Linked DNA regions of Callithrix jacchus. The main gene of each other region encodes a partner of the protein of the gene in region 7 in a complex. Links are inferred from orthologs where the notes say so. Each region holds a gene or a part of one and is shown on either strand. Other genes may lie near its edges. The genes, in order: BUD13, SART1, CWC27, RBMX2, PRPF6, PLRG1 and SNRPD3.

Region 1 (3,787 bases), on a different chromosome or scaffold from region 7:
AGAGCACAACTATATCAAAAATGCAAATCAAAAACCAGAAAAGATTAAGATGACCCTGGCTGCAACACTAACAATTGCCTCTGAATGACAGAATTTTGTGTCACTTTTCTCTTTATACACTTCTGTACATTCTAAAGCTTCTGCAACAAAAAAAATTGTACTTTTATATGGGGTGGGGCAAGTAAATAAAAAGATATATGAAAACCTTCCTCCCTACCACCGTAATTTTTTAACTCTCCCAACCCCAGCCTCTCACTTTTCAAAACTTTCCCAAAGAAACTCCATTCTTAGACCTTATAAAGCAAGTAAAGGGCCAAAAGAAAGCTCCCAGGGGATACACACATCCCTCTCATGGACAGTCATATGCTCACCTTTGTAATCAAGCTGCTGCTTATCTCCAAAATGAGATTTTGCTTGCTTTTTTCGTGGAGGAGAGAGGTCAGAGTCATACTCATATTTGCTGTTCTTTGGGAGTGTCGAATGAGAGGCTCCTGACTCCTTCCAATGTGAAGAAGTCTTGCTAGAGGCTCTTTCTGGGGCTTTACTACTTTTGGTTCTGGGCAGGGAATGAGTGACATTAGGAGCCAAATCAGGGGAGTCATGACGAGCCCTTCTGAGTTGCTGCATGTTTGAAGAGGCAAGAGTCCTCCTAGGTTGAGATGTGTTAGGGGAGTTGTTATGGGCCCTTCTGAGGGGAGAGGTATCTGAGAAATCATGATGGGCTCGCCTAGGAGAGGGATCTGGTGAATCATGACGGGCTCGCCTAGGAGGAGAGGGATCTGGTGAATCATGACGGGCTCGCCTAGGAGGAGAGGGATCTGGTGAATCATGACGGGCTCGCCTAGGAGGAGAGGGATCTGGTGAATCATGACGGGCTCGCCTAGGAGGAGAGGGATCTGGTGAATCATGACGGACTCTCCTAGGAGATGCACCTGAAGAATTATGCTGGGGCTTCCTGGGGGGAGAAGGATCGGGAGAATCATGACGGGCCCTCCTTGGGGGTGAAGTGTCTGAGGTGTCATGACGGATCCTCCTGGGAGATGTGTCTGAGTCATGACAAGCTCCTCTGAGGAGAGAAGAATCTGGGGAGTCATGACGGGCCCTCCTAGGAGACGAATTCGGGGTATCATGATGGACTCTCCTAGGAGATGAATCTGGGGTATCATGACGAAAATGCCCATGTGAGGGTAGGTCTTCATTGTGGCCTAAACACAAATAACAAATAGTCAGATTCCCACAAATGCTCTGTCCCTCTGTCCCCGCTTCACACCCAGTTTCAAAAGATGCTCCAGCAGCACATAACCTCAGAACTGCTCAGAAAGCCCAAAAGTCCTGTAGTTTCCTTGCTTAGGAGCAGCAAACCAGCACTCATGAATATCTTAAGAATAACCTGTCTTATTTGCCTACTAAGTCATAAATGTGCAAAGTATTTCCAGTACATTTTTTATATTATACCCTATAAGACAAGCAGGGCAGGTACCCTTGTATTACAGCATGATGTTTTCAGCTGAGGAGCTGAGTGATTTCTGACCTAAGGTCACAGCTACTAAGATGAAGATACAGGCTAGAATCCAAGTCTCCTAACTCCCAGTCCAGTGCTCTTTCTAAAACCTCATTTGTGCAGTTACCAGACAGTGGCTCCTACTGATATTTAGCCCAGATACTTTATAGTTCATACTCACCCTTCTTTCAAAAGGTAAATTGACTAAACCAACGAACATCAAAATAAAATGCTGTTAACTATTTAATCCATTTCACTGTGTTCTTTGTTAGAGAGGGGAAAAATCACCACCGGGAAAAAAGAAAAAGGAACAAGCATTTACCAATCACCTACTGTGTGCCAATGTAGAGATTACCTGATTCAATTCTCTTAACAAGCCTGGGACGTAAATATTGTTATTTCCATTTTACACATGAGGAAGCTGATACTCAGAAAGATTAACTTGCCCAAGTCATACTGCTAATAAGTGGTGGAGATATATTTAAATCCAACTCTATTTGACTCCAGAGTCCATAGACTCTGTGCAATCTTTAAAATATGTAAATCTTTAAAGTGAAAATACATAGTTTGAGACTTTCCATTTTCAGAGGCACCGCAGAATGAAATATCTACAGCAACTGGAACAGTTTCAAATTCCAGTTCTTCCTCTACCTCTATTTCTTGTCATTCAGCTCCATAGCCCAAATACAAATAACAGCTAGGTAGGACCTGATGAATACTTGTTAAATAGATTAATTAAACCAAGTCAACCCCTTTAGCTTGGGTAACAGGCCTATCTGATTCTAATCCACTCCACAGAGAGAAGTATGATGTCTGTGGGGGCCTAACAGCAAATCTAAAGGAAGTAAGGGTCGGAGACTGGTGAGCATATTTCCAGTAACAAATTGGGATAGGGAAGTGAGAGTAAGGCAGAAGAAAAGGAAGGGGGAGGGAGGGTTGGAGAGGGAGAGGGAAAGGGAGGGGGGGGATGGAGGGAGAGAGAGAGAGAGAGAGAGAGAGAGAGTATGTATGTGTGACTTTCCACACATTCAGTTACAGAAGAAAAAGCACTGTGTGTGTGCAAGTTTGTATGTCTTTCTAAACATTCAGATACAGAAGAAGAAGCACTGTGTGTGTCTGTGTGTCTTCCTAGACAAACAGATATAGAAACCAAAAGATTTTCTTTGGAAAAGAATTCCGATTAGGCTACAAAAATCAAATCCCTACTAGCAATTCAACAATTCTACAACTATTTACTAGGTAGCTCCTTGTGCTAGACAGAGGAACATCACGGCAAATAAGACTAGACTATGCTCAAACAGATGTGATAAACAAATGCTTTTTATCCAATTCTCAAGGACTCACATTTTTTTTTAAGACGGTTAAATTATAAATATTAGCTTAAGAAGAGTCTAGAATGGGCAAGTGGAGGGTAATGCACTGTAAAATGCCAATATTTAAGGAAAGAAGAGAGAAATTTACTAACACAAATAAACAGAACAAAAAACATTGGTCCTTGACCCTCCCAGAAATGAGCTGCTTCATTGTGGAAGAGGATAGAGGTGGCTAATGTCTCCAAATTCTGTTCCTGTTTCTTGTAAACTCCCCCCAAGTCTTGCCTATATCAAGTGCTCTCCTATTCTGGGTCAAAGAGGAATGGGTACTCAAAGGCCTCCAAATTAGTCACTGACCTCAGTAACCCTGATGCCAAAATATAAGAGAAAGGAATATTTGGTCTCTAAGTTCCCATGTCTTACTACCTCTGAAGAAGTCCAAATTCCTTTTTCCTGCTATATTTTTCAGCATCAATGACAAGCTAAAACAAATTATGCATTCTTCTAAAAGAAAAGTATAGGAAAAGAAAAAAGACCTCCCCTACTAATGGAAATTTAGATGTGCCTTTTGTTGGAACTCACCTCCCAGAAGCTTCCATTTGGCACTGGAACGAAAGGCCTCCATCTGCTTCACCTCTTCTGGTCGCTCATCCACAAACTCTGCCACCTGCAGGAGTAAAGATTTACTATACTGAGGAAATTCACAGGATCCAACCAAGAAGCATTGTCTCAAGAATCTGAAGTTACAACTATTCCGATTCCTAACATAAGGGCACACACATATCCAAAACGGTCATGAAGAAATAAGTAGGAGTCTTCAGTTACGTTTGCTCCATAAACATCTGATTGTCACTGTCTTGGTTGAATTGTAGATCCTTCTCTAACTAATCAATTTCCCTGCAAAGGTTAATTTCTTTCATTACAAACCTTTTTATTAACCTGCTAGGTACACAACAGCCACTTGTAAGCTAAC
Region 2 (3,787 bases), on a different chromosome or scaffold from region 7:
TTTGAGACCAGCCTGGGCAACAAGGTGAGACCCTGTTGCTAAAATTTTTTTTTTATTTGCCAGGTGTGGTGGTGGTCTCAGCTACTTGGGAGGCTGGGGCAGAAGGATCCCTTGAGCCTGGGATTTCAAGGATGTAGTGGGCTATGACCACACCGCTGCACTCCAGCCCGAGCAACAGAGCAAGACCTTGTTTCTTAAAACAACAACAAAAACAACCTCCTAGGTTTCTAATGTGCAGGCAGGCTAAGAACTTCAGGGCTAATAACCCTTACATTCATTTCAGTCATAAAACACACAGCCCTGTCAGTCTATCGCCCCATTTCTCTGTTCTTTTTTCTTTTCGAGACAGAGAGACAGAGTCTTGCTCCATTGTCAGGTACCAGGCTGGAGTGCAGTGGCACTCAGCCACTGCAACCTCCGCGTCCCAGGTTCAAGCAATTCTCCTGCCTCATCCTCCCGAGAAGCTGGGACTACAGGCGTGTGCCACCATGCCCAGCTAATTTTTGTATTTTTAGTAGAGATGGGGTTTCACCATGTTGGCCAGGATGGTCTCGATCTCTTGACCTCGTGATCCGCCCGCCTCAGCGCCCCAAAGTGGTGGGATTACAGGCGTGAGCCACCTGGCTCGGCCTTCTCCGTTCTTTTTTACAGATAGACTGGGCAAACTATGTCCCACTACCTAGAAATAAAGTGTCACTGGAAACCAGCCACGCCCACTCACAGATTGTCTTAGCTGTTTTTCCTACAATAGCAGAGCACACAAGGGGCCTGACAGAGACCACACACCCTTAAACCTCAAATCTGTCCTCTGCAGCCCTTCAATACCAAGCCTGCCCTCCGTCCCAGGCGCAGCCCTCACCTTCTCAACTCTCATCCTCCCAGCCCTGAATCCACTCGAACAGTCCCCACTTTACCTCCCAGTCGCATCAGAAGCCTCCCTCCCTTACTCCCTCTCCTGGATACCCTTTCTTGGCTTCTTCCTAGGTAAAAAGTGTGGGGTAGGGCTAAAAATGTGGCCTCGGCAATGATGGAGGTGACAGAACCTTCCTCACAGGAACAAACACAGAGCAGGAGAGCAGTGCCCGGCACACTGTGCCGGCGAGGCAGTGATGGCCATGGGCTCAAGGCTCCCCCTGCGCTGGCTCCCAGCCTCTCCATCTCAGCTCACACCACCCTCTCTCTGCTTCTGCCTCCCTGGTCCTCAGGCACTTTAAGGTTGATTCTTCTGATATACCTTCTGGTTGGTCTATGGCTTAAACGCCAGCCTGTCCACCTGCTGCCACCCCTCTCCCCCACACACTCTGAAAGCCAGCTCCATGAACCCAGGGCCCTGCAGCTGTCCTGTTCACCAATGACCCTCCCAGCTCAAGAATAATGCACTACTCACAGTAGGCATTCAACAAACACACACAGGAAAGGAAAGGATCCCCCACTAAGCAGGTATCTGGCGGTGGAAACACTGCAGACGTCTCAAAACCTGCACAAAACATGACTTTAAACAGAAAAGAGGGTTGGGCGCAGTGGCTCACACCTGTAATCTCAGCACTTTGGGAGGCTGAGGTGGACAGATCACCTGAAGTCAGGAGTTCAAGACCAGCCTAGTGAAACCCAGTCTCTACTAAAAATACAAAAATTAGCCAGATTCGGTGGTGGGCGCCTGTAATCTCAGCTACTCAGGAGACTGAGGCATGAGAATCGCTTGAACCCAGGAGATGGAGGTTGCAGTGAGCAGAGATCGTACCACTGCACTTCAGACTGGGTGACAGAGTGAAACCGTATCAAAATAAAAAAAAAAAAAAAACACCCAAAAAACAAACAGAAAAGAGGCTTCAGACAGGAATGTGGCTGTTTGCCATGACAAAGGGCACGTGCTTGTGAGGATAGGCCAATGCACCGGGAGCCCCAGGCCTGCCTGCGCCCAGCCTCACCTTCTCGCCACTGTCTCGAAGCTGCTGCAGCTGTCGTAGCCGGCGCCCCTTCTCCAGCTGCTTCTGCAGCTCCAGCTCTGCCTCGTCCTCCTCCAGCACCTGTGGGGACCCCGGTGGCGGCGGAGCTCCATTCTCCTCTGGGAGAAACACGGGATGCCTGCTCAGACCATCTTCCCCAACCCTGTCCCTGCCCCCTTCCACCCCCTGCCGGGCCCTCACCCTCATCACTGATGTCCATGTTCTCCACTCGGGTGTCGTCTGATGGCGGGGGCTGAGGCATGGACTCCTTCTCCTCCTCCACCTCGGACACTCGACGGCGACCCCGGCCCCGCAGTCTGAGGGAAGAAGGCCTCTCTGGTGAGCACCAGCCCCCAGGCCACCCCAGCCCAGCCCTCTCCTCCTGCCACCATGTCCAAGCCCACCTGGAACCAAAGTCCCCATCCTGAGTCTGGTCCCCGAGAGGCAGCAAGTCATCCGCCCGCACTACTACCTCCTTCTCCTTCTTTCGGATTTTCTTCACCCTCCGCTTGGTCTTTTTAAAGGTCACCTGAGAGGAAGAGAGGAGAGACATAGAGCGGGGTGGCGGAGAGGCGGCCCACCACAGCCCTCAAGGGTGAACCTCTTAGGTGTTCCTCTGTGCTAGCCAGTCTCCTGAGCGCTTCCCACACATGAGTAACACGTGGGGTGGTTACTATCTCCAATCCACTCATGAGATGGGGAAACTGGGCACAGAGAGGTTAAGTACCTTGCCAAGGTTGCCCACTCCTAAGTGAGGGAACACTTAGCAAGACGCCTACTGCACTGGCTGTCTACCTCATGTTACAGTCACTCCACGGGCAAGAGCCACACACACCTGTCCAGTCACCCCTCACCCATGCTGTCACTCATCCTCACAGCAACCTCAGGAGGCGGCTCTTGTCACTGACACTCCAGATGGGGTGCCCCAGGCTCACAGTTAAATGGCTCACCCAGGGCACGGGCTGGCAGCATGGCAGAGCCCGAATACAGACTGAGGCCCATGTGGCTCAGCAGCCCTGATCCATCCACACCCGGTACTCCCCCAGATGCCATTTACTGCTCGCCCACAAGGCCAAGCACTTTGCAAACATGAACACTCGGCCTCTCTTCTGAGTGCCTGCAGGCAGTGCATGAGCCGAGAGGGAGGGAGAATTGTGATATCGAGTACGAGGCACGAGAAGGCTCACCATCTCCTCAGGCGTGAGGTACTCGGAGGCCAGCCGGGGCCCCACCGTGCTCAGGGACTGAGCCTGCAGCCGCAGCTTGGCCCGGATCTCCTCCAGCTCCCGCTCCCGCAGTCCATCAGCTGTGCCGCCCTGCTCTAGGCGGAAGGAGTGCGGCCGCTCACCCTCAAGCTCTTCGTCGTACTTAGCCAGGATAGAGTGAGGTTTTTGCTGCAGGGCAAGAGGCACAGGTTGGAACCCAGGCTGGCTCCTGAAAACCCACCTAGCCACCACCTCCTCAGAGCCCCGACTCCCGACATTCACCGCCCCATCCCCCGCCGCCCACCCAGCCTGCCCGCCACGTGCCTGTGCCAGGTCATCCACACTCTCATCCTCCACATAGGGCAGGTAGTCGGGCTTCTTCTTCCGCAGCTCCACATTTTTCTCTGCCCGCTCCTTATCCACCAGGTTCACGTTCACCAGCACATCTTCCTCCTCCTGTAGCACGCCTGAGGGCAGCACAGAGCAGTGGCCATTCACACTTGCCGGCAACTCAGCAGAGGCTGTGCCCCCCCACCAGGCACCCAGCTCATGTCACCTTTGTCCTTGAGGGTGAGGATCATGGTCTCCCCTTCTCTGAAGGAATCAATGGCATGCTCCACGGTGAGGCCCTGCAGG
Region 3 (4,499 bases), on a different chromosome or scaffold from region 7:
TGAAGTGTAGCCATGTCTACCTTGCTCACGATTGTATTTTCAATGCCTCCAGTGCCTGGCACACAATAGGCACTTAATAGAGTGTACACTTCCTCTCTCACAGCTCCAGATGTACTCCTCCCCAAACTGCAGTTGGTACAAAAGCCAATGTTCCCATAACAGGTATCTGTAGAATGAGGTTCAAAAAGGCTGCCACAGAACAAAGATTATCTGGTCAAATAATACTGGGAAAGGTAGGTTTAAACAGGGCTCTGAACCATGGTAATTTTCAGAATCCTTTCTATTACTAAAGTGCACTGTGAATTTCCAAGTTGCGGGGGATAGGGTGGAGGAGTGTATATTCCTGAAAATATCTCCTGCAACCAGTGTTCGCAAAGCCGGTTTAAGGAGATGCACTCCCCTACTAGAACTTCCAAGTAAGCTAGTAGTTGAGGACGAGAAAATCTTTTAATTATTCTGCGAGTTCACCATTTTTAGGGCAGTAACTTCTGGACACAGAATTTGAGACTCAGAAGAAATCTTATACATCATTCAACAAAGCTCCATGTTTTTATAAGAAAACTGAGGCCCAGAAGCACAAAGAGACCAATCTGTGGCCACAGAGCAGCTACCTACAACAGGAAAGGCTAGGAGTAGAACCCAGACACCCGGCAGGTCCTAGCGACTTCTAAGACAAACGATGGCTCCGGTTACCTGAGTCGGCCAAGTGTTTCCACTTCAAATTCTATTTTAAAGCCATACCACAGTTAAGGTAGTTTTTCTTGGCCGCCTGCCCCCTTAGGCCTACAATTACAGTCTCTCCCTTCTCCCTCCCTTCCACGATATACTTTCCCTGTAATCCCATGCAGTTGCGGGGGGAGGAAGATAGTTACTTTCTTTCCTTCAGAGTTTTTCTTTGGACTGTAAACTTTTTCACGTAAACAAAACAAACTCATGAATTTTAAGGCCTCCACCTAAATCCCCATGGGCGCTGCTCCCTACATCCTGCACCCTACCCTATCCTCCCTTGCGCTCCCTTCCGAGCTCGGACGCAGTGGCTCCTTACCTGGGACCGCCATGACGGTGGTGACAGGGGTCACTGCAGCCTCCGGCTTTCGAAAAGGCGCTTGCTTCCCGCCAGCTGCGAGGACAAGGCACAGCCAAAGCGGCGTTTGCCTTCCCCAGAGCGGCAGCACCTTCGCTACAGTCGGAAGGCCCTGTAAGCCTCTAGCGACAACAGAACCAGTAGACGCAGATGCGGTTTCCGGACGAGTCATATTGCAGAAGACACATGGTCCGGACCATTACTGTTAGTTTTGGGGGGTGCTGAGTGCGATCTGCACACGCAAGTAGTGAAGTAAACACCGCCAAAACTTACGAAGTGCCTCTTCTAATGTTGTAATACAAATTACATTAAGCCATAGTAGCTTTACAGACTTTTTTTTGTACCCAGGAGTACATTGGAATCACCCTTCTCAGCATTAGCGGTGCTCGGGTCCGATAACAACATGGCGGCGTCCGAGAGGGGTTGTTTTGGGCAAAGGTAGTGTTTGGTGTTCCTGTCTTGCGTGATGTTGACAAACTGAAGCTTTCCTGGACCACTCGACTTAACGAAGAGTGTGCTCGTAGGCGGACAGCTTTCGTGACCCGCCGTCCACTCTCATCCCCCATAAGGAGCAGAGTCCTTAGTACTGATCGCGATGAGCAACATCTACATCCAGGAGCCTCCCACGAATGGGAAGGTGAGAGCTTCATCTAGGGAACTTGGGGCCCTGAGATCCCCAAAATGAGATTTCCCGGATTTGGGGTGGGGAATGGGTTCAGGGATCTTGTGGTAGGAAGAGACCACGAGAAGTGTTGTCTTTACTTCTTCCTGTGGACAATGTTGCATCGAAACACTGAAGCTGGTACTTCTCAGCATGTACTTGAAAAAGTCAAGTGGAGATTTCCCTATCCAGCAGCGTTCCGGTCATATTTTCTGCCTTAACCCAACTCACGCAGCCTATATCTAGGGCCTTAAGTTTTTAAAAGTACATTTTTGAGTTTGATATATTCTTTGCTTAACTTGGAGGTCATTAATTCTCCATTTCTTCTACAGTCATTAATTGAACGCCTGCTAGCCACTGGGCACTGTACTAGGCGCCGGAGATACAAAGAGGCATAGGTAAGGTAGTTTTCCAGGAAGAGCTTACAGTTTAGAGACAGGCAGGTAAACAAAAGCCTTGTATGTCTGATAAGAGTGCTTGTAGAGAAGAGACCATGTTACTATGGTAATACTGAGTAGTGAACAATTGGGAAAGTTAGGAAAAGCATCATGGAGAAGCTATCTTTTGAGCTGGTTTTAAAACCTGAGATGACTGTCATTCAGAGAAAGGGGGAAATGGGGAATATTACCACATTAGAATGGAAAAATGTTTCTCTGATTGATTTAATGGCTAATGTATGCCAATTCCCATCCAAGGTGTTTGTATACAGTACAAGGCAGAAGAGTCAGTTGTAGAATAAGTATCACCTGAATTTTTATTTATTTATATATTTAAAGTATTTATTTTATTGCATTTTAGGTTTTGGGGTACATGTGAAGAACATGCAAGATAGTTGCATAGGTGCACAGCAGTGTGATTTGCTGCCTTCCTCCCCTTCACCTATATCTGGCATTTCTCCCCATGCTATCTCTCCCCAACTCCCCACCCCCCGCTGTCCCTCCCCTATTTTCCCCAATAGACCCCAGTGTGTAGTGCTCCCCTCCCTGTGTCCATGTGTTCTCATTGTCCAACACCCCCCTATGAGTGAGAACATTCGGTATTTCGTTTTCTGTTCTTGTGTAAGCTTGCTGAGAATGATGTTCTCCAGGTTCATCCATGTCCCTGCAAAGGACACGAACTCATCATTTCTGATTGCTGCATAATATTCCATGGTGTATATGTGCCACATTTTCCCTGTCCAGTCTATCATCCATGGGCATTTGGGTTGATTCCAGGTCTTTGCTATTGTAAACAGTGCTGCAGTGACCATTCGTGTGCATGTGTCCTTATAGTAGAACGATTTATATTCCTTTGGATATATACCCAGTAATGGGATTGCTCGGTCAAATGGAATTTCTATTTCTAGGTCCTTGAGGAATCGCCACATTGTCTTCCACAATGGTTGAACTAATTTACACTCCCAACAGCACTGTAAAAGTGTTCCTATTTCTCCACATCCTCTCCAGCATCTGTTGTCTCCAGATTTTTTAATGATCGCCATTCTAACTGGCGTGAGATGGTATCTCAATGTAGTTTTGATTTGCATTTCTCTAATAACCAGTGATGATGAGCATTTTTTCATGTTTGTTGGCCACATGTATGTCTTCTTTTGTAAAGTGTCTGTTCATATCCTTCACTTCCTTTTGAATGGGCTTATTTGTTTTTTTCTTGTAAATCTGTTTTAGTTCTTTGTAAATTCTGGATATCAGCCCTTTATCAGATGGGTAAACTGCAAAAATTTTTTCCCATTCTGTTGGTTGCCTATTCAATCTAATGACTGTTTTTTTTTGCCGTGCAGAAACTATGGAGTTTGATTAGGTCCCATTTTTCTATTTTGGCTTTTGTTGCCAATGCTTTTGGTGTTTTGGTCATGAAGTCCTTGCCTACTCCTATGTCCTGAATTTCGCCTAGATTTTCTTCTAGTGTTTTTATGGTGTTAGGTCTTATGTTTGTCTTTAATCCATCTGGAGTTAATTTTAGTGTAAGGTGTCAGGAAGGGGTCCAGTTTCTGCTTTCTGCACATAGCTAGCTACTTTTCCCAACACCATTTATTAAACAGGGAATCCTTTCCCCATTGCTTCTTTTTGTCAGGTTTATCAAAGATTGTATGGTTGTAGATTTGTTGTGTTGCCTCCGAGGCCTCTGTTTTGTTCCATTGGTCTATATCGCTGTTTTGGTACCAATACCATGCTGTTTTGATTACTGTAGCCTTGTAGTATAGTTTGAAGTCCAGTAGGGTGATGCCTCCCGCTGTGTTCTTTTTACTCAGAATTGACTTGGCTATGCGGACTCTCATTTGGTTCCATATGAAGTTTAAGGTGGTTTTTTCCAGTTCTGTGAATAAGCTCATTGGTAGTTTGATGGGGATAACGTTGAATCTGTAAATTACTTTGGGCATATGGCCATTTTCATGATATTGATTCTTCCTAACCATGAACATGGAATGTTTCTCCATATGTTTGTGTCCTCTCTTATTTCGTTGAGCAGTGGTTTGTAGTTCTCCTTGAAGAGGTCTTTACGTTCCTTGTTAGTTGTATTCCTAGGTATTTTATTCTCTTTGTAGCAACTGTGAATGGCAGTTTGTTCTTGATTTGGCTCTCTTTAAGTCTGTTATTGGTGTATAGGAATGCTTGTGATTTTTGCACATTGATTTTGTATCCTGAGACATTGCTGAAGTTGCTTATCAGTTTCAGGAGATTTTGGGCTGAGATGATGGGGTCCTCTAGATACACAATCATGTCGTCTGCAAATAGAGACAATTTGACTTCTTCCTTT
Region 4 (3,787 bases), on a different chromosome or scaffold from region 7:
TAGGAGCCCGATAGTTAGACACATGATCCACTCGGATAGTTCTTCCTTTGATCTAAGCAAGACGGGAAATGCTTCAGTGAAGACGGCCCTCATAACACAGTGTCAGACTATCTGAACACAAGCTACAGAAAACCATGATTTGAACTATGTCCACTTCCTTCTTGCCAAATTTTGTCACTAAAGCAGACCTGTCCAACTGGTGTGTCATAGCATGTACACCTAAATATTAATACACTCAGCTCTCAGGGCAGCCAGGTGAGGCCTGGGCAATTGTACCAGCAGCCTCATCACTTTACCCCAGGGCATCATATAAATATCTTCCTGTTCTACATGGTCCACAAAATGAAAAAGACTAGGAAACACTACTACCTCAAAGCACAAGCATCAGGGAAGACTGTGAGATTTAGATGCACAATTAACTACCCTTGATCTGTAACATAAGTTTACAGTGAAACATGCCCTAGGAAGGTCTGGCAACTAGAAGGAATTCTTGATATCTAGCTTAATGCTACAACTGCTTTCCCGACACAGTCATTAGGAGGCAAAGCCAGACCAACAGTTTGGCGAGAGGAAGGAATAGAGAAAAGGAAACTTTCTTTTTTCTTAAGCCCTCACACCTTGCTCTAGCCACACCACACTGGAACAGTAGGCTCACACTGATTATTGCGCTATGAATCACAACTCTACAGGTGAACAACAATAAAAAATTAACCCCTCTGATCAGGTTCAGTGGCACTTTGGGAGGCCGAGGAGGGTGGATCACTTGAGGTCAGGAGTTCAAGACCAGCCTGCCCAAATTGGTGAAGCCCTGTCTCTACTAAAAACACAAAAAATTAGCTGGGCATGGTGGTGCGTGCCTGTAATCTCAGCTACTCCAGAGGCTGAGGCAGGAGAATTGCCTGAACCCAGGAGGCGGAGGTTGTGGTGAGCCGAGATCGCGCCATTGCACTCCAGCCTGGGTAACAAGAGAGAAACTTCGTCTCAAAAAAAAAAAAAAAAAAGAAAAAGAAAGGTAAAAAACAGAGGCCTGGAGGGGAGGCAGGCCTGGTACCTATGCTCCTGGGGAGACAATTTGTTAACAGATGGGAAAAAGAAGCAAGTCCTGCAGGGCCACAAGTCAACAGAATTATTTCCTGGAATCTCTTTTTGACCAGTGTCTCCACACCTCTGCAGCCCCTGCAACACACCAAGCTGACGAGTGCTGCCCCGGTGTCCATGGCAACCAGGTAGAAAACGAAACCCCTATACAAGGGGAAAAAATGTCCAACCAACCTGCTTAGTAAGTACACTCACCTTGATCCCATTAAAATTGTCAACGGCCAGAATTGTGCTCCTCTGGTCTTCATAGCAGAGAAAACAAAATCCTTTGGACTTCCCAGTCTTCTTGTCCCGCACGAGATTAATGTTAACAATCTCCCCATATCTATTTATTTTATAAAAGAGTAAGACACTATTGACTTAAAAGGCAAAAACATGCAGATAAGGTAATAAAACAAAATTCAAATAATACAGTATGTACAAGAGATACATCTAGAACGAGATGATACAGAAAGGTCATGACAAAGAAAAAGTCAGACAAGAACAGGAGTACCCAATTAAAAAACAGGCACTAATATCAAGAGCAAAGGCTAATTCAAGGCCACAATAAAAAATGAAACTAAGAAGATTATTTTACACTGAAAAAGGCCTAAATACAAAACAAAGGTATAAGTCAGGAAAACTTTAGGTCAATTAAGAAATCAAAATTTTTAATTAAAAAAGCTATCAGAAATGCAAAGAAAAACTAATAGCAAAAGTTATGGAAGAATTTAACAAATCACTTTGAAGTTTATCATGCACAAAGTGGACAGAAATAAGATCAGATTAATTAATATACATAATTACTATAACAATTATACAAACAAATATTAATGTAATTAGATACATAGATATCTTTGAATCCTACAAGATGACAGTTTCAAGAATTCATGAAGATTGTACTAAAATAGACTATGGATTAGGTCTCAATGTAAACCTCAATAATTATACTCCAAAAAACAGACAGACCTAAAGCTGGAAATGATATTTTAAATAAAAAACACCTTACCTAACTAGAACTTGAAAGCTACTCTCTTAATAACTGGATGAAAGAGAAGATGAAGCAAAATATTTTTTTTAAAATGGCAGACTATTTAGAAAATAGCAAAAATGAGAAGAATATATACCAAAACTTATGAAATGTACCTAACATCATAGGAAAATTTGTAACTTTAAAATAATTTTATTGTGAACAAAAAGGATGAATATAAAGGAAGAAAGCAACCCTAATGAAAGCAGATGGGAGCTAATAAAGATAAAGGCAGAAATTTGGCTAGGCATGGTGGCTCATGCCTGTAATCCCAGAACTTTGGGAGACCAAGATGGGAGGATTGTTTGAGGCCAGCAATTTGAGACCAGCCTGAGCAACAGAACAAGACCCTGTCTCTAAAAAAAAAAAAAAACCAAATAGATAAAAAGGCAGAATTAAATAGAAAAAAAAAAGGCCAGGCATGGTGGCTCACACCTATAATATGTAATACCAGCACTTTGGGAGGCAGGAGTATTGTTTGAGGCCAGTAGTTCAAGACAGACTGGGCAACAGAACAAGATCCTATTTCCAAAAAAAACAAGCAAACAAAAAAAGATCAGGCATAGTGGCTCACACATGTAATACCAGCACTTAGGGAGGCCAAGGCCAGAGGATCACTTGATGCCAGGAGTTTGAGACAAGCTGGACAATACAGCAAGACCCCTGTTTCTACAAAATAATAAGTTTTTTAATTAGCCAGGCATGGTAGTGTTCACTTGTAGTCCCAGCCACTCAGGAGGGTGAATGGGGAGAATCACTTGAGCCCAGGAGTTCAAGGCTGCAGTGAGCTAGGATCATGCCACTACACTGTGACCTGAGCGAGAGAGTGGGACTCTGTCTCAAAAAAGAAAAAACATTAGGAATAAAAGACTACCTTACTCCTTGCAGCAAGATAAATTCCAGATAAGTTAGAGGTTTATAAATTTAAAAATAAAGTCATAAAAATAAAACGGGAATTGACAGGTATGTTACATAATCACATACATACACTTCAGCCCAAAATCTAGCAATCTACTTAATGAGAAATACTAGAGCTGATTCAAGTAAGTTTAGAAACTATTTAATACTAAAATGAAGGTATAGGCCAATGCAATTAGGTAAAACAGATATAAGAAATGAAAAAAAGGAAGTAAAATTATCCTTTTGTAGATTACATATGATAGTATACATGGAAAACCCAGAGAATCCATGATAAACAATGATTAAAAACAGAGCGTAACAATTCAGTAAAGCAACAAGATATAAAGTTAAAAATCAATCACTCTGTTATACAGAAACAATAATCAGAAGAAATGATAAAAGGGAAATCGTATTTATCATAGCAAAAAAAGACAAAGTACTTAGAAATATACTTATCAACAAAAAATGTACAAAGCCCATATAAAGAAAACTATTTTAAAATTCCCAAAAGTCACAAACATAGATTTGAACAAATATGAAGGTATCCCTTGTTCTTGGACAGGATGACTCACTATCATAAGGTATCAAAATCTTCTCCCGAGTTAATGTAAATTTAATATAATTCCAATAACAATACCAGTTTGGTTTCTTTCCTGAAAGCTGAATAAGTTAATTCTAAAATTCTTATGGAAAAAAGAACATGTAAAAATAGCTGGGAAAACTCTTAATGAGAACAATGAGGGGGAGTAACTCTTATCAGATATCAGACAGACTGAAATT
Region 5 (4,567 bases), on a different chromosome or scaffold from region 7:
CTAAGGTCATGTAAGACGGGAAGAAGCTTGGTGAAAGATACACAGAAACCTTTTTTTTTTCTTCTGAGAGGGAGTCTCACTCTGTGGCTAGGATGGAGTGCAATGGTGTGATCTCTGTTCACTGCAACCTCTGACTTCCTTGTTCAAGCGATTCTCCTGCCTCAGCCTCCCAAGTAGCTGGGCTTACAGGCACGTGCCATCATGACCAACTAATTTTTGTATTTTTAGTAGAAACAGGGTTTCACCATGTTGGCCAGGATAGTCACGATCTCCTGATCCTGTAATCCGCCCACCTCGGCTTTCCAAAGTGCTGGGATTACAGATGTGAGCCACCATGCCTGGCCAACTTTTTTCAACTTTTTTTTGGCACTACTGTTGCAAGTTCCTGCAAATTTAAAATTATTTCAAAACTAAAATTATTTTTAAAAATTTTCCTCAGAGGAAAAATGTGATCTGTTAGAAGACAGTTAATCGGTATTCAGTCAGCTGAGGTTTTCCTTTAGATGTCTTTTTAGAGGGCAACCACTAACGCTAAAAAAACCAAATACTTTCGGTTTTTATGATAAAAGACTGACCAATACAAAATACCAGGGCAGTGGTCCTCATATCTGCAAGAACATCTCTCTGAAGAGATAAAAAGTGCACATTCCTCCGTATTTTTCCTGCTCCCTCTCACTCTGCTAAAGATGTCCCGTGAATAGCTGAAATTTTAAATGCATGAGCCACTCCACTGGTTAGGGAGCTGGTCAGCTGCTCCCAGAGACTGGCTGGAGGAGCCACAGAAGCCCAACACATCCCACCTCGTCGTAATTGGTGTCATTTAGGTCCTCATCATCATCATCAGCAGCCTGGTTTTTCTTCATCTGGTCCCCAACGGTTCTCTTTCCTGGGGGCGCATGACGATCATCCACAGGATCATTTGCATCACGGGCGGGCCCAATGTCTGACCGTGTGGTGAAGCCGGTGGCACTGCAGGAGACCCCCAAGACACCCAGTATCTGAATGCGCCTGTTCCCAGGCTCTTCTCCACCCCTGGTCATCACTTAATATCACCTCTATTTCTAACACCTCTGGGAAATCTCCAAAGATCCTGGTGACAATGAACTGCAGTCTCAAATACCACCGATCTCTACTTACCCGAAGGTTTCAACTCACCCTGATGACGTTTCCAAGGCAATCCCTCCACCCAAAGGCTTTGATCATCTCCCCCTCCACATCCAGCCAGGCCCTTAAACCCAACTTGGCCCAAACTGAGCTCCTCTTCTGGGCCCACCTTACAGCTTGCTCAGGGGTGTTTCAGCGTGCTGACCCACATGCCATGGGTGTGGGTCCATGACACAATATTTGCCTCCCTTTCCCACTCTCTCCATCCTGTCTGCCACTAAGTACTAATGAATCCACCTCCAAAATCTCTCCTCCCCAGACTATGACTCCCACCACAGCTGGAAACCAAGTTAGCCCTCCCTGCCTCTAGCCTTCCTCTACTTCAACCCATCTTCTGCAAGATGATTCTTCCCAAAACACAGCTCTGATTGAAAACTTCTGAAGGGTCACGGTCTTTCCGACGTCTCCAGGAGCTCTAGCCTGTGGCTCAAGGCCACTCCAACCTCCTAAGCTCTGTTCTACTGGCTGCACATCCTATTCACACTGGACTCCCCTGTTCCCCGGGCTTCCTCCTGGCCTCACTTTTTTCCTTTCTTTTTTTTTTTTTTTTGAGACAGAGTTTTCGCTCTTGTTACCCAGGCTGGAGTGCAATGGCGCGATCTCGGCTCACCGCAACCTCCGCCTCCTGGGTTCAGGCAATTCTCCTGCCTCAGCCTCCTGAGTAGCTGGGATTACAGGCACGCGCCACCATGCCCAGCTAATTTTTTGTATTTTTAGTAGAAACGGGGTTTCACCATGTTGACCAGGATGGTCTCGATCTCTTGATCTCACGATCCACCTGCCTCGGCCTCCCAAAGTGCTGGGATTACAGGCGTGAGCCACCGTGTCCGGCGGCCTCACTTTTTTCTAACTCTCCACACACACAATGGCAGTTTCTCTTCTATCGCTACCATATTTCGGCAGCCCTAAGTCCAGCTCTCCTACTAAACTTGGCCCCAACGACACCCTCCATTAAGCACTGGGTTCTAAATCTGATCCTCCTTACGTACTGATTTATGGTAACACCAAACCCTCCATGAGCTTCGGGTCCTCTGAAGGCGCAGTCAATATCCGAGTCTTGTGTGTGCCCCACAGATTCTAGTATATCACCACCAAGAAAAACCCAGTAGTTTTCCTCATCAAATGAATGATCAGATAGGATAGCAATGACTGCTCACTTATCCGACCCAGGCACGCTTAAGGCGCGGCGAGGGGGGTGTCAGCCTGACCTGGGAAGGCGGCCGCGTTTCCACTACTCCTCACTGCAGGCTGCACACAGCATCATCTTACACTGGGGCTGACAGCCAGGGCGTCACAACCATGCAGCAGGCAGGCTGCATACACACGTCTGTCCTGACCCAAAGCCCGCGGCTTCCTGCAGGGATTAAGCCGATCCCCCGAGTGTCTTTCAGACCGCGCAGCCAAAGACCCCCGCCCCCAAACACCTGCACTGCGCTCCGCCAGCCGGGTCGCCGCCCCACGTCTTGCCCCAGGCCTCACCCCCGGCCCAGCCCCGGCACGTAGCCGAGCGGCGCGGGCATCCCCAGGAACGGCTTCTTCTTCTTGTTCATGGCGGCGACGATGACCAAGGCTAGGAAGGAATGAAGCCGCGGAAGAGAGAAAGACGCAGACACTCCGAGCTCCGACGTCCGAGGCGCTCGGTAGGAGGAGGTCGCGGTTGGCGCGTCACTGGCGCCCCGGAAGCAGAGCGCTCGGTCCGCACAAAGCCCGCCCACTTTTGACTCCCCGGGCGGAAGCCCCGACGCGCTCCTGACGACTTCCGGCCGCGGCTAGGGGGCGGGGACATGGCAGGCGCGTGAGCTGGAGCGCCTCCTCGTGGCGGGGCAGGAGGAACGAGGCCGAGCTTGCACTGGGACCCTAACGGGCTCCGGGGACGGCCCCAAAAGCTGAGCCTCGGGCATCGCTGCTTCCCCAGTGCTCTGATGCATTCCCAAGGAGACCTGTCTGCCAGTAGGGCCCTCGGCCCCCTCCCTCTGAACCAGCCCAGCTTCCCGCCCTCGCCCTTGGCGGGCCCTGATCACTTTCGAGTGGAGCGCACCCCGTGCAGTTGTGTAGAGCTTGTGCGTACTGGTTATGGGCACACCTGTCTGTGGGCACACCTGCCTGTGGGCGTCCTGTGCGCACGCTGCTGCCCTATGCTTTTACGTAGGGGCACCCCCGCAACATTGTGCTTTTAGCATTCACATTTTTGGGCTCCCATTCAGGCATCTGTGCCTCCAGCGGGATTAGAGACCCCACCCACGGCCCCCAATATGCCTTGGACATTCTGGTGAGGGCCGCATTCTCAGCTCCCGGAGAGCTAACTGACGAAATCACCACAGCGGACCTGTCAGGAACACGTCAGTACATAAACATGGCTGTCAAGCATGTGGGTGAATTCTGTGTGTGTGAATTAGTGGGGTGTGTGCACATTGAGGTCACGTGTGCTCGTTTTGGGTACACGTGCATGACTCTACTCTGTGCACGCATTTCTGCTCCTTCTGCTGTAAGACATCCTCCAGATCCCCTGCATACACCCAGGGAGAGCACCTAGGCTCCTGGGCAGAGCAAGCCAATCACAGCCCAGCCCAGCATTTCTCACTGGAGTCCTGGAGCAAACACATCGCTCCAGCCTGCTACAGCCTCCTTGGAGTTCCTCTCTGTCCCATCTCCAGCCAAGCCCCTTTCAGTTACAGAGGACTGCACCGCCCCCCGGGCACTGAGCCAGGTTCTGGGGCTGCAGAGGGAAGGAAGAGTAACCCTAATGTTCACAGTGGGGTGGGCGGTAAGCAAGAGTCAAGCTGGTTTCCCCGGGAAGCGGGTGCCCATTCCAGGGAGAGTAAAGAGGCAGGAGGCCGAGGGCAGTATGTGGGAGGGGCTGATCTGCCCCTTCTCCTGGCTGTGGGTAGAAGGCCCCGCAAGATGCCCGTCAGCCCATCCCTACGCACGGAGGGGCCGGACCTCAGAGGACCCCAGCAGGTGCACGGGGCCTCTCCTCCCCGGAGCCGCGCCCGGGGCGCACGGACGCCCCTCGCCCTGGCGGATAGCCTTGGCGCACGCAGGCCCGCGCGCCGCCGACACACCTCGGAGCTCCCGGAGCGCGCCCGGCACACAGGGCTCGGCTGCAGGTGCCTCGCCGCGCAGACTCGCGGACCGCGGGGACCGGCTCGGGAGCGGGGCCGGCTGGGGCGGGGCGGGGCGGCGGCGCGCGTTCCCCGCCGGCCACACCGGCCGCCCTGCACTCGGCGAGGGGCGTGTGGGCGGGCCGGGCTCCCGCGGGCCCCATGTTCACCGAGCTGAGGTCCAAGCTGAGCCCCCCGCGAGGCCGCGCCGGGGCCGTGCGCGCGGACTTCGGGGAGCGCCGGGATGTGGACGGTGAGCAGGGCTGGACCGGGGCGCGGGGATTTCGCGGGCGGGGGTCTCG
Region 6 (4,260 bases), on a different chromosome or scaffold from region 7:
TTCTAAGAATCTCTGCCATCATTATTCTGCTTTAAAAAAAAAGTCAGCAACCAATGTCTCAGTATTCCCATGAGGATCAAAACTTCCATTATAATACCAATACAGCCATTAAATACTGTATGATCACAATAAGTTCTGCCAGGAGGGGCATAAATAACCCATTTTATTTTTCTATTTTTAAAATTCACATGTAAGTCCTGACATTTCTGATAATACCATACTCACCTTGATTGGCAGGGTACTGTTTATGACCATATGAATCTGTTGCATTCTGAGGACCCTTCTCTTTAAGGTTTTCTTTTGAAGTAGGCATATGCAACACAGGACCATACTCATTACGAAGCTTGATTGCCATTTTTCGTTTGTGACTATTTAGAAATTATAAACATAAGAACATATCCGTAAATACTTTAAAACAAATACTTGGATAGCTTAAGTTTGCCAAATCATGTAGAAAAAGTTTCTAGTAAGATTTTAAGTCATATTTAAAAGATTAAAAAATTTCCAAGTTCATTTTCCCACCATTATCTGTTTTCTTTTGCTCACATTCCACCACACAGCATTCATTAAACCTAATATTTTAGTTCGTTACCAAATAAATACAAAACCTTTTATGATAAATTATCAAGGGTCTGATTGAAAGATATATAGAAACTAACATATCCTTTAAGAAACCTCAAAATCAATATACTTTCCTTCAATATATAAATATAGTAAGAACTTTATAGCAGCCTTTCTATGTTTCTAAACAGGTTAGTCAAAACTAATCAAAATCCTTAACTGGTTCAGTATTTTAGAAAGAAAGGCACTTATATTACTTTTTAAAATTGTCTACTTTATAAATTAAATATAAATGCTTGTTTGAGGAATTCAGTAGATTTTAAAAGGGTAAAGAACAAAGAAGGAACACTGCACATAATGCAATCCCAGACTAGAGCTGGATATGTAGAACCAAAAATGTGCCACCATTCAAAAATCTTTATCATACTAACGAGAAAAGATAGGAGTAGAGGTACTGGCCAGGTACAATTTCAGCTCAGCAAGGCTCTGAGAGCAGCAGGAAGCTGAAAGCACATACAAAGTGATTTATTATAAAATAAAACACCTAAAAGGGGCTCGCTTAATTACTGGGCATTTATAAAATGCAATTAATTAATGGAACTTTTACTGTAAAAGGCAAAAAAAAAAGTTAAATCAGCTTAAATTATGCCAAAATACCACTCATTATTGAATAATTAGGCCATGAGTATTACTAACTTATCTTTAAAGGTCTCCCTCTCCCTGTTCTCTTTGCCCAATATTAAAATGTTAAATATTTCAGCAACTGGAAAAAAAAAAAAAACAAAAACAAAATCTATACCTACCTCTCTTCATCTAAAGGCACAGGTTTTCCATTATCAGCTACAAACATGTCATGGGTCCTCTTCAACGACCTGAACACAAGTGTGTGTACAGAATGTTTCTGTACCTCCTAAAAAGAAAGAATGCAATTACACACCTACCTATAAATTAAACAAATCATAACATAACGTCAGATTGGTTATACACTTTACATGTTTAAAAATGTAAAAAGCTTTATACACTCATCATAGCTACTAGTTGCAAGCTACAGGAGTCAAGTTCAGAAAAGAGGAAGCTCCTCTTTGGCTAGAAACTCAGGTATAGCAACTGAGTGATGCCTGAGTTTAGTCATTTATTTAACAAATATTTATTGAGCTCTGGCAGGTGTTGTGCTAGAATCTCACAACAAAATGATAAAAAGGTGGTCATGGTCCCTGTGCTCAGGAGGAAACAGTAAAAAGTAAAATAATTCCACATTTTGATAAGTGCTATGAAGGCAACAAGCAAGGTGCTGAGTCAGAGTACGAAGGACTAAGTATAATTGTAAAAGATTTCACTAAGATGATATTTAAGCAGAAAGGGAGTTAGCTTTGCACAAACAGAAGTTAAAACGAACCAGGCTGACAGAAATATTATGTAAAAAGGTGTTCAGTTAACTGAAATAAAACAAGGAGCACAGTACAGCTGTATATGGTGGGTGAGAAGGTGCTTTGTGGTTGCAAGGGTACACAAGGTCCAGATTAGGTAAGGCCTTTTAGACCATTACAACAACCTAATATTTTGTGTTCCAGCAACATAGGGTCAGTAAAGGGTTTTAAGCAAGAAAGGTATGAACAACTTACGTTTTAAACAGAACTTATAGAACAAAATGGAAACAAGGAAACCAGTCCAGGTGAAGGATGCGGTTGGTCTGAATTAAGGTGGACTGCAGTGGTTACAGAGAAGAGTTGATGGAATCAATAAATATATGGGGTAAGATGGACAAGACCAGCTAACAGAGCGGCTGTTCAAGGCAGGGAAAGATGTAAAGAATGGCAAGATTTTCTGGGGGTAGAGATGAAATAAGAGAAGAACCTGAACGCAAGATAAAGAAGGCCGCCAGTCTTTTAGGGCACAGAATCACTGACACTGCCCCGAGGGCGGCGAGTACCAGTGGTCGAACACCAACAGAGGCCCCGCCTCCAAGGACAGTGTCCAGCCCCCAAGAGTCAAACGGGGACTGAACGATTTATCTCAGGCTTCGCGCCCGGATTGAACTTCTGACTCGGGTTCTCATCCGGTTTCTCCCCCTTCCCCGAAAACCTGAAAAAGAGACCACCCGGCCTTGGCCAAATAGCTCCCCTCGTAGCCTCTTTTCTCTCCGGACTCCAAGCACTCTCAATCCCCCACGCCCACTGCCAAAGAAAAACAGTCCAGAGGCAAACGGTTCTTGAGAGCACCAGTGTCACTTTACCTCGACCATGATGCTGCCGTATATCCCACCTCTGGCAGCGACGAAACCCTAATCACTAACGCAGTACCCGCCGCCACAACTGTGCGGCACCTTCCGGAATTGGGCACCCAGGCGGCGGATGTGACGCAACTCTGCGCACGCGCGCTGGTTTCCCCCGGCCATCTGGGATCGGGAGGCGGATCTTCCTCCTCGGGACCGCCTCTAGGGCGGAGTCTCGAAGCTGAGGAGCGGAGACTCCTTGAAGCGCCTGACCGGAGGGTTTCACTCGCACCTCTGAGGAAATCTTACAATTTGTTTTCTTCCTTATCCTCAGCCTTAAATGTTTTGATTGGGGTCCTGGTTGTTCGTGCTGTTTTGCTTGGGGTCCTGATTGTTCGTGCTGTATTACCCGGTAGCTTAATGCTTTTTATTCAGGGAACCTCAGCGTCTGGAGAGCAAACTCCCGTGGGCTCTAAGTCACTTGCACTGCCTTGATCTCTTTGGAGGTCGCCGACGTGGTTTGTCTGCTGGTTCCAGTCCTGGCGAGAAGCACTTGAACACTGTTGTAGGCTTAACGCCTGAAAACAATTTCGCTTAAACAGTCCAGTAAACACTTGTTGAGTGAATGTTGCGGAATAGTTGTTTTAATTTGGAGATTTTTCATATGTAGATATACAAAATAATTTTAACAGTGTAAAACCCCACATTTATTTTCTGCTAATAGGTTGGTTTTTTTTTTTTAGTTTCTCAAAACTGTGTAGCTCTTGGCCATTTCCTAGTTGTCTGCTGATTATTGGGCTTCAACAATGCCAGGATACAGCGTTTCAAAGCTGGTTGAAGAAAGGCACAATTGGAGACTTTAGCCATTTTTATTTTTACATATCCTTGTGCCAAGTATTGATATTTTTGCTTTCTACCCTGGTAAAATCTGCGGTTTGTGGTCAATCCTACCCAATTATTTTTCTATGTAAAATGAAAAATTGATGGACTTGGGCATTTGCAAGCTTAAATAGACAAACACCTTACTGGCCCTGTTTCAGTTTCACTGATCCTGTCCCCAGAGCATACTACATACACTTCGAAAGGAAAAAAAAAAAAAGACCTAGCAAAAGAATAGCAATGTAAATCGATGACCTCACTTGGAAATTTAAAACATTAAGGTCATGGTGGATTTTTGTTTTGTTTTGTTTTGTTTTCGAGATAGAATTTCGCTCTTGTCGCCCAGGCTGGAGTGCAATGGCACGATATTGACTCATTGCAACCTCTGCCTTGCAGGTTCAAGGGATTCTCCTGCCTCAGCCTCCCGAAGAGCTGGGATTCCATCTATGCACCACCACGCCTGGCTAATTTTTGTATTTTTAGTAGAGGCGGGGTTTCACCATATTGGCCAGGCTGATCTTGACCTCCTGACCTCAGGTGATCTGCCCACCTGGGTCTCCCAAAGTGCTGAGATTACAGGCCTGAGCCACCGCACCTGGCCCTAAGGT
Region 7 (4,367 bases):
AAAAAAAATTCAGATGACTATGCAAAAGGCCAAGTTGTGCCATGAGAAGGACACCATATCAGGAAACTACTCCATTATTTATTATCAGTGATGAGTCCTTTAATCTCACTCTCCCTATTTTATGGATGTCAAGACTATCACCAAACCTGCTTACCTCACAAGGTAGTTGCAATAATCAAATGAGATTCTCCCTCCAAGAGAAAAGGGAAACAAATACAGTATGGGAGAAGATTCTGCTAACCACAAGGCAAGTGAAGGCAAATGGATAATGGCTCTGAATCTGAAGAATTCTACTGAAGTAGCACTTCCCTCAAATAGGCCCCCAACTCTGGGGATGGAAAAAACAAAAAGGACAAAGTAAAATATTCCAAACCTCCAATGGCTTTCCTGCCTCAAGACTGTGCCTTGTTCATGCCCACATTCCCAGAGCCTGTAACAACAGTGCCTGGCATGCATTAGGCACTCAGAAAATCATTGCTGAAAAATAACAACAACAAAATAATAAGAAAAATAAAAATAATAAAAAACAAACAAACAAAAGAAAATCATTGCTGAATGAGAACAATTTTTTTTCAAAGACCCCCAACCCACACCTTTCCGTTCCTCTGAGACACAGGTCCATTCCTCCCACATAGCCTCATGTGCAAAGCAGGATACCTGGCAGTTCATGTTGTCCTCTGCCTCAATGAGCTTCCCACGATATACCTCGCCGGTGTTCGTTTCGCATGTCACAATGTGTCCCTCGGCCTCATGCAGTACTTTAATCGGCACACCAATAGACATCTTGGCAGGAAGAGTTCTAATGAGAGAGGCAACAGTCAGTTCATCATTCAGAGACTGAGAAGGCATGCAGCACATACTGTGCTTCCTTCAAGGCCTAGCCCTCCATAAAACTTAGCAAAAATGCCAAAACTGAATTTTTTTTTTTTTTTGAGCCAGAGTCTCTCTCTGTTGCCAAGGCTGGAGTGCAGTGGCACAATCTAGGCTTACCACAACCTCTGCCTCAAGGGTTCAAGAGATTCTCCTGCCCCACCAAGTCAGGCTACTTTTTTAGTATGGGGTTTCACCGTGTTAGCCAGGATGGTCTCAATCTCCTGATCTCGTGATCCACCCATCTTGGTCTCCCAAGTGTTGGGATTACAGGCGTGAGCATTGCGCCCGGCCCAAAGCTACATTTTCTACAAAAACAAAAACAAAATAAAATAAAACAAAACAAAAACAACTCAGCTCCTGGCTTGGAGGAAACTATCTGGCAAATATGTGCAAGATGTGGGGTGAGAAGGAATGGTGGGCTGGACAGAGATAAAAATAGAAATGAAAAGAGAGCCTCTCCCATCAACCACATGTCCCTACTACCCTATGTCCCTTAATCTTCATCTAAATGACCATTAGCGAATACTGTTCGTGTTGCGGAGTGGGGGTTAGAATGTTATTTGTTGCATTGTTATTGTCAACCGTAATTGTACATGATTACATTTTGAAAATTATATAGGCCTGAGCTGTCCAATACAGCTCATGTCCACATGTAGCTATTTAAATTAAACTTACTTAAAACAAAATAAAATTAAAATAAAAAACCCAGTCTCAATCCCAGTGGCCATATTCCAAGTGCTCAATGGCCATATGTAGCTAGTGGCTCCCCTATGGAAGGTGCAGATACAGACCAAAGGACCCATGAACACCTAGGAGAGGGGGCTGCACTTTTAATTCAGCCCTTTAACCCCTCACTTACTTTACCATCAAAGATGAGGAAATATCAAAGTGACAATATGCTCTATTCAGGAAATGCTTGTCATGGAGGAAAATCAGGGAAATCACCTGATTTGACCTAATTAAAAGAATCAAGCAGCCAGGCGTGGTAGCTCAAGCCTGTAATCCCAGCACTTTGGAGGCCAAGGCGAGCGGATCACCTGAGGTCGGGAGTTCAAGACCAGCCTGACCAACATGGTGAAAGCCCGTCTTTAAAAAAAAAAAAGAATCAAGCAGTGAACTTTTTATTGAGATAAGCAACGACTCAAAGTTGGAACGTAAGTGCACTTAACAGAGGAGAACGTGAGGTTGAAGAAACAGGTTCCTTTGGTGAGGATCCCTTGCTTTCAGCTTTAGGAGTCTACATTTTATACTGAAAATAGTGGGGAACCACTGCACGATTTTAAGTAAAGAATGACGTAATGAAAAAAGCAGCAGCACTGCCGGGCGCAGTGGCTCACACCTGTAATCCTAGCACTTTGGGAGGCTGAGGCGGGCGGATCACCTGAGGTCAGGAGTTCAAGACCAGCCTGACCAATATGGTGAAAACCCGTCTTTAAAAGAAAAAAAATTTTTTTTGAATAAAAAAAAAAAGTGGCAGCATTTATTTATAAAATGGATAGAATGTAAGGTTTAGAAGCAGAGAAACTTGTTAAAACTTCTGCAACAGTGTGGAAACCATGAGGGGACCACTACCTGAAAGGGGGCTGGAGGCAGAGATGCAAGTAACTTTTAAAAGAATGATCGGCCGGGCGCGGTGGCTCACACCTATAATCCCACCACTTTGGAAGGCCGAGGCCGGTAGATCCCTTGAGCCCAGGAGTTCAAGACTAGTAAGGGCGACATGGTGAAACCCATCACTACTCCAAAACAAAAAGAAAAAATAAACAGAAAAAAGCACTCACAGGATTTGGGGAAAGGAGACAGTCAACCAGAAATGACTTCAAGATTACTGCCTGGAAGCTCTGAAAAACACTGACCTGGAGAGATACAAAAAGTGAAAGCATGCACGCTGAAGCTAATGAACTTACTTCTAGGCGCTAGTGAGGCGATGCTCGCTGATGTCTGGGTGGCCCAAGCTTCCCGCTTTCTTCCCTCCCCGAGCCCCGCAGAGTTCCATGCAGCGAGTGGCCCCTCGACCCCCCCTTGCCCGTCCCCAGCCTCACCAGCTCCGGCCTCCTTCTCCTCTTCGGTGCGGCGGCAAATGAGTCTACGGCTAAGGCGTGAGTTCAGCGAATGGCGGGCCCAGCTCCCAGAATTCCAATCGTTCCCAAAATGCAGCGCGCAGGGCCCACCTCCTTCCTTTCCCCATTGGTAAGTGCGGTCTCGTCTCCGCTTCCTCTTCGCTGCGCCCGCCGGCTGGGAAACTAGGGCACCGCTACGATAGTTCCGGCACCAGAAGAGACGGCTGATAACTGGGCCCGAGGGCCGCCGGAAACAACGACCCTTGGGCCGGCAACGAGCCGCAGAGGGTGCTCGCACTTCCAAGCACCCCACACCAAGGACAGGCTGGACTGCAAGGCGGAAACCCGGGGCCTGGGCCGTCAGACCCGGGGCCTGGGCCGTCAGACCCGGGGCAGCAGGAGGTTGGGCCAAGGGCCAGGACTTCCCCCTCACAATTTAATTTTTTGATCCCGGCACCGCTAGGTAAGGGGCGCCCTGAGCGGGGCGAGGTATCTCGTACGGATAAAATTAGGTATAGAGTAGGGCGGCGGCCGGCTCAGGATCATCCCTAAAGGCAGTTGAAAGAGAGTTGTGGCCGGGCGCGGTGGCTCATGCCTATAATCTCAGCACTTTGGGAGGCCGAGGCGGGTGGATCACGAGGTCAAGAGATCGAGACCATCCTGGTCACCATGGTGAAACCCCGTCTCTATTAAAAATACAAAAAATTAGCTGGGCATGGTGGTGTGTGCCTGTAATCCCAGGTTCTCGGGAGGCTGAGGCAGGAGAATTGCATGAACCCAGGAGGCGGAGGTTGCGGTGAGCCGAGATCGCGCCATTGCACTCCAGCCTGGGTAACAAGAGCGAAACTCCGTCTCAAAAAATAAAATAAAATAAAAATAAAAAAATAAAAAGAGAGTTGTTTGGCGCTTCGGCAATGCATTGGGCGGGACCGGTGCTTACACCTAAGGCTGCAAAGGAGCGGGTCACGGCAGAGGCGGAGTTTGCTGAAGAGACGAACCTCTAGGAAGCATCTGCACTAAGTGCACGAGCTTCGGGGCGGGCCTCAAGGAAAGGGGTGGGGCTTCCGGGGCCCGTGTCCTGGTGGGCAGCGCGTCTACGCGAGGATTGGGCGACGGGGCGGGGCCACCCGACGCAGAAGCGGCAAATGGCCGGGGCGGGCTTAAATCGAGAGACTGGGGGCGTCTAGAATCAAAGTTTGGGGCGGGGCTTATGGAAGGGGCGGGGCCTTTAGATTCGCGAACTAGAAGGGCCGGGGCGGGCCTTGGGGAGGCCCAGCCGCCGCCTCCAGTTCTCCCCACCGCATCGGCGGCGGTGGCGGCGGAGGAACTGGAGACGCACCGGCCGCCCTCCCGCCCCAGCCGAAGCGGAAGCTGTAGCCCGCTCTGGGCTGGGGCCATGGGCGCCCCGCGCCGCCCGGGTCATGAGGACGGAGG

Evidence for each region.
Region 1: SNRPD3 (region 7) and BUD13 share a complex: the UniProt entries of both Homo sapiens proteins name them as parts of the minor spliceosome. The link is inferred for Callithrix jacchus from reciprocal best matches to the Homo sapiens genes SNRPD3 and BUD13.
Region 2: SNRPD3 (region 7) and SART1 share a complex: the UniProt entries of both Homo sapiens proteins name them as parts of the U4/U6-U5 tri-snRNP complex. The link is inferred for Callithrix jacchus from reciprocal best matches to the Homo sapiens genes SNRPD3 and SART1.
Region 3: SNRPD3 (region 7) and CWC27 share a complex: the UniProt entries of both Homo sapiens proteins name them as parts of the minor spliceosome. The link is inferred for Callithrix jacchus from reciprocal best matches to the Homo sapiens genes SNRPD3 and CWC27.
Region 4: SNRPD3 (region 7) and RBMX2 share a complex: the UniProt entries of both Homo sapiens proteins name them as parts of the minor spliceosome. The link is inferred for Callithrix jacchus from reciprocal best matches to the Homo sapiens genes SNRPD3 and RBMX2.
Region 5: SNRPD3 (region 7) and PRPF6 share a complex: the UniProt entries of both Homo sapiens proteins name them as parts of the U4/U6-U5 tri-snRNP complex. The link is inferred for Callithrix jacchus from reciprocal best matches to the Homo sapiens genes SNRPD3 and PRPF6.
Region 6: SNRPD3 (region 7) and PLRG1 share a complex: the UniProt entries of both Homo sapiens proteins name them as parts of the minor spliceosome. The link is inferred for Callithrix jacchus from reciprocal best matches to the Homo sapiens genes SNRPD3 and PLRG1.

The regions. Positions count from the first base shown.
Region 1 is NC_133511.1:16,405,105-16,408,891, forward strand, and holds part of BUD13 (BUD13 homolog), read right to left. Parts: intron 3,482-3,787; coding exon 3,397-3,481; intron 1,206-3,396; coding exon 372-1,205; intron 1-371. UniProt on the Homo sapiens protein: Involved in pre-mRNA splicing as component of the activated spliceosome. As a component of the minor spliceosome, involved in the splicing of U12-type introns in pre-mRNAs.
Region 2 is NC_133511.1:123,045,503-123,049,289, reverse strand, and holds part of SART1 (U4/U6.U5 tri-snRNP-associated protein 1), read right to left. Parts: coding exon 3,708-3,787; intron 3,619-3,707; coding exon 3,476-3,618; intron 3,341-3,475; coding exon 3,134-3,340; intron 2,476-3,133; coding exon 2,351-2,475; intron 2,264-2,350; coding exon 2,148-2,263; intron 2,066-2,147; coding exon 1,929-2,065; intron 1-1,928. UniProt on the Homo sapiens protein: Plays a role in mRNA splicing as a component of the U4/U6-U5 tri-snRNP, one of the building blocks of the spliceosome. May also bind to DNA.
Region 3 is NC_133503.1:144,762,222-144,766,720, reverse strand, and holds the start of CWC27 (spliceosome-associated protein CWC27 homolog), read left to right. Parts: upstream 1-1,472; 5' UTR 1,473-1,679; coding exon 1,680-1,721; intron 1,722-4,499. Other genes in the region: protein SREK1IP1, read right to left, coding at 1,046-1,058. UniProt on the Homo sapiens protein: As part of the spliceosome, plays a role in pre-mRNA splicing. Probable inactive PPIase with no peptidyl-prolyl cis-trans isomerase activity. As a component of the minor spliceosome, involved in the splicing of U12-type introns in pre-mRNAs.
Region 4 is NC_133524.1:126,051,324-126,055,110, reverse strand, and holds part of RBMX2 (RNA-binding motif protein, X-linked 2), read right to left. Parts: intron 1,424-3,787; coding exon 1,294-1,423; intron 53-1,293; coding exon 1-52. UniProt on the Homo sapiens protein: Involved in pre-mRNA splicing as component of the activated spliceosome. As a component of the minor spliceosome, involved in the splicing of U12-type introns in pre-mRNAs.
Region 5 is NC_133506.1:59,453,994-59,458,560, reverse strand, and holds the start of PRPF6 (pre-mRNA-processing factor 6), read right to left. Parts: upstream 2,824-4,567; 5' UTR 2,715-2,823; coding exon 2,644-2,714; exon of another isoform or gene 2,589-2,643; intron 970-2,588; coding exon 801-969; intron 1-800. Other genes in the region: SAMD10 (sterile alpha motif domain-containing protein 10), read left to right, coding at 4,428-4,518. UniProt on the Homo sapiens protein: Involved in pre-mRNA splicing as component of the U4/U6-U5 tri-snRNP complex, one of the building blocks of the spliceosome.
Region 6 is NC_133504.1:42,068,165-42,072,424, reverse strand, and holds the start of PLRG1 (pleiotropic regulator 1), read right to left. Parts: upstream 2,890-4,260; 5' UTR 2,804-2,889; coding exon 2,795-2,803; intron 1,472-2,794; coding exon 1,365-1,471; intron 369-1,364; coding exon 226-368; intron 1-225. UniProt on the Homo sapiens protein: Involved in pre-mRNA splicing as component of the spliceosome. Component of the PRP19-CDC5L complex that forms an integral part of the spliceosome and is required for activating pre-mRNA splicing.
Region 7 is NC_133502.1:195,106,350-195,110,716, reverse strand, and holds the start of SNRPD3 (small nuclear ribonucleoprotein Sm D3), read right to left. Parts: upstream 3,012-4,367; 5' UTR 2,916-3,011; intron 2,730-2,915; exon of another isoform or gene 2,655-2,729; intron 800-2,654; 5' UTR 784-799; coding exon 658-783; intron 1-657. Other genes in the region: protein GUCD1, read left to right, coding at 4,144-4,367. UniProt on the Homo sapiens protein: Plays a role in pre-mRNA splicing as a core component of the spliceosomal U1, U2, U4 and U5 small nuclear ribonucleoproteins (snRNPs), the building blocks of the spliceosome.